Saccharomyces cerevisiae S288C: one gene and its partners. Changing the gene in region 1 together with any one later gene gives a genetic interaction. Each region holds a gene or a part of one and is shown on either strand. Other genes may lie near its edges.

What was found.
Region 2: mutations in GPX2 (region 1) and PRX1 impair growth when combined (synthetic growth defect), as found in Saccharomyces cerevisiae (one study listed by BioGRID).
Region 3: mutations in GPX2 (region 1) and TSA2 impair growth when combined (synthetic growth defect), as found in Saccharomyces cerevisiae (one study listed by BioGRID).

Annotation. Positions count from the first base shown.
Region 1 is NC_001134.8:705,780-708,516, reverse strand, and holds GPX2 (glutathione peroxidase GPX2), read right to left. Parts: upstream 990-2,737; coding exon 501-989; downstream 1-500. Other genes in the region: chromatin-remodeling ATPase ISW1, read left to right, coding at 1-367; ALG7 (UDP-N-acetylglucosamine--dolichyl-phosphate N-acetylglucosaminephosphotransferase), read left to right, coding at 1,724-2,737. UniProt on the Saccharomyces cerevisiae protein: Glutathione peroxidase-like protein that protects cells from phospholipid hydroperoxides and nonphospholipid peroxides during oxidative stress. Plays an important role in the oxidative stress-induced response in the presence of Ca(2+).
Region 2 is NC_001134.8:99,796-102,822, forward strand, and holds PRX1 (thioredoxin peroxidase PRX1), read right to left. Parts: upstream 1,362-3,027; coding exon 576-1,361; downstream 1-575. Other genes in the region: SEF1 (Sef1p), read right to left, coding at 1-320; KIP1 (Kip1p), read left to right, coding at 2,091-3,027. UniProt on the Saccharomyces cerevisiae protein: Thiol-specific peroxidase that catalyzes the reduction of hydrogen peroxide and organic hydroperoxides to water and alcohols, respectively.
Region 3 is NC_001136.10:1,364,542-1,367,401, reverse strand, and holds TSA2 (thioredoxin peroxidase TSA2), read left to right. Parts: upstream 1-1,739; coding exon 1,740-2,330; downstream 2,331-2,860. Other genes in the region: GUK1 (guanylate kinase), read left to right, coding at 575-1,138; PPN1 (endopolyphosphatase), read right to left, coding at 2,500-2,860. UniProt on the Saccharomyces cerevisiae protein: Thiol-specific peroxidase that catalyzes the reduction of hydrogen peroxide and organic hydroperoxides to water and alcohols, respectively.

The DNA of each region.
Region 1 (2,737 bases):
CTTGGATAGAGATGACGTATACGAATTAGTGCGTGATGAAATTAGAGATTGTCCCCTATTCGAATTAGACTTTTACTTCAGAAGCAGGACACCTGTAGAGCTAGCCAGAAGAGGAAATACATTACTGCAATGCTTGGAAAAGGAATTTAACGCAGGGATTGTATTGGATGACGCCACTAAAGATAGAATGAAGAAAGAAGATGAAAATGGTAAAAGGATAAGGGAAGAATTTGCAGATCAGACCGCTAATGAGAAGGAGAACGTTGATGGAGTAGAGAGCAAAAAAGCGAAGATTGAGGATACGTCGAATGTTGGAACTGAACAGTTGGTAGCAGAGAAAATTCCGGAAAACGAAACCACTCATTAAACCTTCTTTTTTTATATTTCGATTTTTTTTAATATATCCTACACCATGCTTCTGAAGAAAAATATATAATCATACTAATCTATAAATGTATTATTTATTGTTCCGGATAATTGCTTGATTATAGACAAAGATATCATTTACTTAACAGGCTTTGGATTTCTTGGTCCAAGGACGATGGTTTTGTTAAGGAGGAAAATCTTTGGACAACCTTACCATTGGAATCAACTAAGAACTTTTCAAAATTCCATTTGATACCCTTGAAACCTAGTAAACCTGCTTTTTGGCTTTTCAAATAATTATAGACAGAGTCAGCATTACTTCCGTTAACATCAATCTTCTTCATAATTGGGAATGTAACGCCATAATTCAACTGGCAAAATTCCGTAATTTGTTCATCAGAGCCCGGTTCCTGCTTCCCGAACTGATTACATGGGAACCCCAAAATAACAAACCCCTTATCTTGATATTTTTTGTATAGTTCTTCCAATTCTTTATACTGCGGCGTGAAGCCGCACTTGGAGGCAACATTAACTATGAGAACTACTTTGCCTTTCAGTTGGTCAAACTTAAAAGATTCGCCTTTCTTGTCCTTGCATTCTAAATCATAAAAAGATGTGGTCATTTTGAATTATTACTTTTTGTTGCTAATTGTATTCTTGTCAAGGTCAGCCATGCAGGGAAATGCAAGTTCTCTGCGCTACATCACATATTAGCAAATAGTAGTTCTTTATATATCAAAACAATAACAAAAGTACCTGCACATTTTTTAAAGCAGGCTGGCTTAGGGGCTTTGCACTAATACGGAGACAATGGAACTAATGCCTTTCACGATATGTGTGGCAGATATTGTGGTTTTAAACTCTTTGTCATCGGAATTACTAATTGTCTAGATATGGCCGGCCGAGTAGCCTCTAAAAAATATTAAACAGTTGAAAGTAAAATTGCTTGGAAAACACTACTGAGTCGTTGGTCATTTCAAGAGACTGCATCTATCAAAAATAGTCAAGATTTGTGTACATGTTCGTCGTACATTTAGTAAGTAACGTCCGTATTTTCCTTTTTTTAGCGGATGATGAGTAAAAAATTTCTTGTGGATTTATATGTTACGAATACAAACACAGAGGTTGATGCATGAATTTTTTCTAGCTACTACCATGTGTTTAATACAATAATAGTACAGGTTTCCTTCATCTCCTGTATATGGCCCTTTCCTTTTATATTGCCTCAATCTCGAAAAATGCTTTACTAAACAGCGCGAAAATTAAATTGTTAACATGTGTATATAACTGTGAAATATGTAAATAAAAACTTTATCAAGTAGAGCAAGGCGGAGAACGGTAACAAAAAGTAGACTATATGTTGCGACTTTTTTCACTGGCACTTATCACATGCTTAATCTACTATTCCAAAAATCAGGGCCCATCTGCTCTTGTTGCGGCCGTGGGATTTGGTATAGCAGGCTATTTAGCTACAGATATGTTGATTCCACGTGTGGGCAAATCCTTCATCAAAATAGGCCTATTCGGTAAGGACTTGAGTAAACCTGGCCGTCCGGTGCTTCCAGAAACAATAGGTGCTATCCCTGCTGCAGTTTATTTATTTGTAATGTTCATTTACATTCCCTTCATTTTCTACAAGTATATGGTCATAACCACTTCAGGTGGGGGCCATCGCGATGTCTCAGTGGTTGAAGATAACGGTATGAATTCTAATATTTTTCCTCATGATAAACTATCTGAATATTTGAGCGCTATCCTATGCTTGGAAAGTACGGTCCTCTTGGGTATCGCTGATGATTTATTTGATTTACGTTGGAGACATAAGTTTTTCTTGCCTGCCATTGCAGCCATCCCACTGCTAATGGTTTATTATGTGGATTTTGGAGTTACGCATGTACTTATTCCCGGATTCATGGAACGCTGGTTGAAAAAGACTAGTGTTGATTTGGGGCTGTGGTATTATGTTTATATGGCATCGATGGCAATTTTTTGCCCCAACTCCATCAACATCCTGGCAGGTGTTAATGGTTTAGAGGTTGGCCAATGTATAGTGTTGGCCATCTTAGCGCTATTGAACGATTTGCTGTACTTCTCGATGGGGCCATTAGCCACAAGAGACTCCCATAGGTTTTCCGCTGTTTTGATTATCCCATTTTTGGGTGTATCCTTGGCGCTATGGAAATGGAATCGTTGGCCCGCCACAGTGTTTGTGGGAGATACATATTGTTATTTCGCTGGAATGGTATTCGCAGTCGTTGGTATACTGGGTCATTTTTCAAAGACGATGCTTTTGCTATTCATTCCTCAAATCGTTAATTTTATTTATTCATGTCCTCAGCTATTCAAATTGGTCCCCTGCCCGAGACATAGG
Region 2 (3,027 bases), 610 kb from region 1:
TCTTGTCTCAGTAGTTGCAACTGTGAGCCCTTCTTAGGCCTGAATTGAGGATTGATTTCACAGTGGAGACCAATTTTTTCGCATCTGGAGCAAGGATGAGGGAAATTTTGACTAGCATCGCATTTGATTTTGTGCTGTCTACAATGTGTACATGAGGTAACTGGTCTATGGTTGATTTGATGACTGTCATCATGGTGAGATATTCGTTGTTTCTTACTTGGGAACTGGTGCTGTTGCAACTGTTGCTGCTCCGGTTGTCTTTTCATGTGAGCAGAACTAAAATCTTGGTCTTGGTCAGAATCTCGATTATCCTTCACCATGACGAGAATGCGTATACGCAGAGCCAATATAATCTGTATACGGGACCTTTGACATTAAGGTTTCTGCAGAGAGTTTATTACATGCATTTTCATATATATATTTTTAACGCCATTCCTTTACGGTATGTAAAGAAAAATGATCCAATGAGCGGCCCTTCGTACGAGATGAGATATAATAAGAATGAAAGATAGATAAAAGTTTTAGTTAGAGATACTTCATATACCTGTATATAGTAAAGTCGTTTATTTCAAAGCTTATTTCGACTTGGTGAATCTTAAATAGGGTTTAATTTCATTAAATTGACCAAATTTAGCCTTCGCCTCATCATTGGAGACAGAGGGAGGAATAATGACATCGTCAGCTGGCTGCCAATTAATTGGAGTTACTACGCCCTCCTTGTCAGTCAATTGCAAGGCGTCGATTACCCTTAACACTTCAGAAGTGTTTCTTCCGACGGTGGAAGGGTAGGTAAAAATCAGTCTAATCTTCTTCTTGGGATCGATGACGAAAACAGACCTCACGGTCTTCAGTGACCCATCATTGATATTTTTGAATCCTTCGGCATCTACCATATCATATAGGAATGCCACGTTTCTAAAAGTGTCACCAATTATTGGGAAACCAACATTTTTAACCTTTGCTATTTCCTTGATGTCTTGAATCCATTTTTCGTGGGACTCAACATCTTCCACTGAAAGCCCGATCAATTTAACATTTCTCTTGTCGAATTCCGGCTTCAATTTGGCGAATGCGCTGACTTCGGTGGTGCAGACAGGGGTGAAATCTGCTGGGTGAGAAAACAAGACCCCCCAAGAGTCGCCCAAGTAGTCGTAAAAATTGATTTTACCAACCGTTGTGTCAGCATCAAAGTTAGGAGCATCAGAGTTTATTCTTAGTCTTGGTTGATCACTTTGTTTGAATTGTTTGCACAGAATAGGTGCTGTGGCAAATGTTTTAATCGTCTGTGATTGCAAGTGAGCCTGCTTAGGAAGGGTCCATGCCGTCCTCTTTAATTGAGCGCTACAAATTCTACTAAACATCCTTTGCTTCCTGCTTCTTTGAAATTTATCTCATCCTACTGCGAGAATCTAGAAGCACAATTTTCTATATCTCTCCTTCTCTCTTTATATACCAATAGCAGCAACATCCGGCCCCTTGTTTCTTTACGTAATTAAAAATCTCCGGGGCTAGCTTTTGCCGGGGAACCCATCCCGAAAAAATTGCAAAAAAAAAAATAGCCGCCGACCGTTGGTCGCTATTCACGGAATGATAGAAAAATAGCCGCGCTGCTCGTCCTGGGTGACCTTTTGTATATTGTATAAAGATAAACATAGTGCTATCAGGAATATCTTTATATACACACGCATACTGAATGTGGTTGAAGTTCAAAAAATATCACAAACGTTAAGAAGTTTTACTGGTAAACATATAGACATAGTGGAGCGCTTGCTCGAGGTCAAATGCAGACGGATACGAGAGCGCGGGAGGGAAACCGGAGAAGGTCAATATGCCCATAATTCTTCTTCTTTGAGGTTGGCAATTATATATTGTATCTGAATTAGGCAAATAGAAAAGAGACCTTACCATTAGCGCCATCGTAGAGTCCCATTTCACCTTTTCTTAGTTCTTTATATATGTCTGCGTATGGCCCACATATGCGCGCACAGTGCGCGCCACCCTCTAAGAACGATAAACATAAAATAAACACATAAACAATCAACGACAGTTCGCGCTTCCCTCACTAAATATGGCGAGATAGTTAAACAATCATGGCTCGTTCTTCCTTGCCCAACCGCCGCACCGCCCAGTTCGAAGCGAACAAGAGGAGGACCATTGCACATGCTCCATCTCCAAGTCTTTCAAATGGGATGCACACTCTAACGCCGCCCACCTGTAACAATGGTGCTGCCACTTCAGACTCCAATATACATGTATATGTAAGGTGCAGATCGCGTAATAAGCGAGAAATAGAGGAAAAAAGTAGTGTAGTTATATCTACACTAGGCCCACAAGGGAAAGAAATCATTCTGTCCAACGGTTCTCACCAATCGTATTCGTCCTCGAAGAAAACTTACCAATTTGATCAGGTGTTCGGCGCAGAATCTGACCAGGAAACAGTGTTTAATGCCACTGCAAAAAACTACATTAAGGAAATGTTGCACGGGTACAATTGTACAATATTTGCATACGGTCAAACGGGAACAGGTAAAACCTACACTATGTCTGGCGATATAAATATTCTCGGTGATGTGCAATCTACCGATAATCTATTATTAGGAGAGCATGCAGGTATCATACCACGGGTTCTGGTCGATTTGTTTAAAGAATTGAGCTCCTTAAATAAAGAGTACTCCGTAAAAATATCCTTTTTAGAGTTGTACAATGAAAATTTGAAAGATCTGCTCTCTGATAGTGAGGACGATGATCCTGCAGTCAACGATCCCAAGAGGCAGATTCGTATTTTTGACAATAACAACAATAATTCATCCATCATGGTCAAGGGGATGCAGGAAATCTTTATTAACTCTGCACACGAAGGCTTGAATTTGCTAATGCAGGGTTCGTTAAAAAGGAAAGTGGCCGCTACTAAATGCAACGATCTTTCATCAAGGTCTCACACCGTCTTTACAATCACAACAAACATAGTTGAGCAAGATAGCAAAGACCATGGACAAAACAAAAATTTTGTTAAAATTGGCAAATTGA
Region 3 (2,860 bases), on another chromosome or scaffold:
TTGTCAATCTTGGGTGCCCTTTATCTTAGAGTAGCTAGAAAAGCAACGGAAACAGAAAAAGTCACACCGTGAATAATGATTGTTCGATATCAACTTTTGCAGTTCCTTGCTATCACGTTTGTGCAAGGTATATCATCTGTCATAATCCTTTGGCAAGACTACTGCTCTGCTACTCCTTGTGTGTGCTCACGGCAGGCTACAATGCAAAATTCATCCTAAACTCTGCTCTATAAGCATTAATAAGGTGAAATTTTCACAGCCTTTACATAAAAAACGACAGTAAGTGTATAAATGTGATTGTCAAAACTGCGACGATTCGAAATGATAGCTATTTGAAGTGTAGGTTATATCGACAGGAAGTTTCGGTTCTCGAAATATGTGATGCGTCTTTCCGGCGGCGTCGATGCTAATAGCAACCGTACTCATCGGTACATTCCAAATTTCGAAAAAAAGCTTGGAAACACATAAAAAAGAAAAAAAAAAATACATTTAGCATAAATGGATACACAATGGCGTTTCTTTTTAGTTGATAACTACAGTTTACTTCGGATAAAGATTAGTAAACCTTTGCGTTATGTCCCGTCCTATCGTAATTTCTGGCCCAAGTGGTACAGGTAAATCTACACTGTTGAAGAAATTGTTCGCTGAATACCCAGATTCTTTCGGGTTTAGTGTTTCATCCACTACTAGAACCCCAAGAGCTGGCGAAGTAAACGGTAAGGACTATAACTTTGTCTCCGTAGATGAATTCAAATCTATGATTAAGAACAATGAATTCATTGAATGGGCGCAATTCTCCGGTAACTACTATGGTAGTACTGTCGCTTCCGTCAAACAAGTCAGTAAATCTGGTAAGACTTGTATTTTAGATATTGATATGCAGGGTGTCAAATCTGTCAAGGCTATCCCAGAGTTAAATGCCAGGTTTTTGTTTATTGCTCCACCATCGGTCGAGGATTTGAAAAAAAGATTAGAAGGTAGAGGTACGGAGACCGAAGAATCCATCAACAAGAGGTTAAGCGCCGCTCAAGCTGAATTGGCATATGCTGAGACAGGTGCCCATGACAAAGTTATTGTCAATGATGATTTGGACAAGGCCTACAAGGAATTGAAGGATTTTATCTTTGCAGAAAAATGATGTAGCCCTATATAGACATTACTAAGTATGTACCTGGTAGGAGAGTGCTGTCGCAAAGCGACAAAACGTCCAATTATTCAATTAATATAGTGTAAAAGTTCTCAACGGGCTTATGCTAGTTTTTTTTGTTAGTAAGCGCTACGACGACTAGAACCATCTCTTGAATTTCCAAGTGCCAAAATCAATGACCACGGATACTGTGGCCAGGAATCTGTTGGTTGGTCATCCTCAAGATCTAGACAATATCATATTGGGCCAGTATCTGATTATCTTAACTATATGCGCCCCTCTAGTTTACAAGTTTTAGTCATTGGGGGTTGGAAGGGCTGATCCCCCCTTACAATTGGCGTCGTTTAGGAGCGGGCGAGGCTCTCCTTTCTCTTACACATCTGCTAAGGTGTTTGTTACCCGAGTAATCAAGGATCAACTATGGATGAGATTTAGATTAACGTATTTAGAGCAGACGATTGTAAGAATATATTTTGTAATTTCGATTGTTTTTTGCTACTTACATTGTTTATCTTGAAATATCCAAAGTGAACACTATTACTGTTTTTTGCTCAAGAATATATTAGCCTTACAAGAACGTAAAAAACCAATCATGGTAGCAGAAGTTCAAAAACAAGCCCCACCATTTAAGAAAACCGCCGTAGTCGACGGTATCTTCGAGGAAATTTCACTGGAAAAGTATAAAGGTAAGTACGTTGTTCTAGCTTTTGTCCCATTGGCTTTTTCATTTGTCTGTCCAACTGAGATTGTTGCGTTTTCCGATGCCGCCAAGAAATTCGAAGATCAGGGCGCCCAAGTTTTATTTGCCTCCACCGACTCTGAATATTCCTTACTGGCATGGACCAACCTTCCCAGAAAAGACGGTGGATTAGGTCCAGTTAAAGTTCCTTTGCTTGCTGATAAGAATCATTCCTTATCCAGAGACTATGGCGTTTTGATTGAAAAAGAAGGTATAGCTTTAAGAGGTTTGTTCATAATCGACCCGAAGGGAATCATTAGACATATCACTATCAATGATTTATCTGTTGGCAGAAACGTCAATGAAGCTTTGAGATTAGTCGAAGGTTTCCAGTGGACTGACAAAAATGGTACAGTTTTGCCATGCAACTGGACCCCAGGAGCCGCCACCATCAAACCTGACGTTAAAGATTCCAAGGAGTATTTCAAAAATGCCAATAATTAATCTTCGCACGATAACGCTAGGCCCTATTAAATAATTAAAAATACATCACCCTATATATGATAAGAAAGATGGTTTTGTATTATTATGAAATTGACTTGAAAGAATAGTGTAACAAAAGAAAAAGAAACTGTAATTGAAGAATGATATGCATTTCTATGTGTATATTAACTTAATCATCTTTATATCCAGAAGACGCAAATGACCATTCGACGTATTTTTCCCATGCAGGTTTGTTTTCGTATAATCTGCCTGCAAGATCCAAATAACTTCCTACTGTTAACGAATCCATTGAGTATGGTTTCTCGTCTGAGGTATATTCTATCTCATACCTGAAAATATCCTTAGATTCAACAAATGAATTATGTAATTCTTGATTGATTTTTTCCAAGTCGGCGTAGAATTGGACGAAACGCGTCGGAGTGAATAACTGCGGTACATATGCAGGGCCGAGTTCGTATTTGTCTGGCATCTCAATTGGCATAGTCTTGTCATTTTTCTTTTTCTTCTTGTTTTTCTTTTCGCCCATCTTC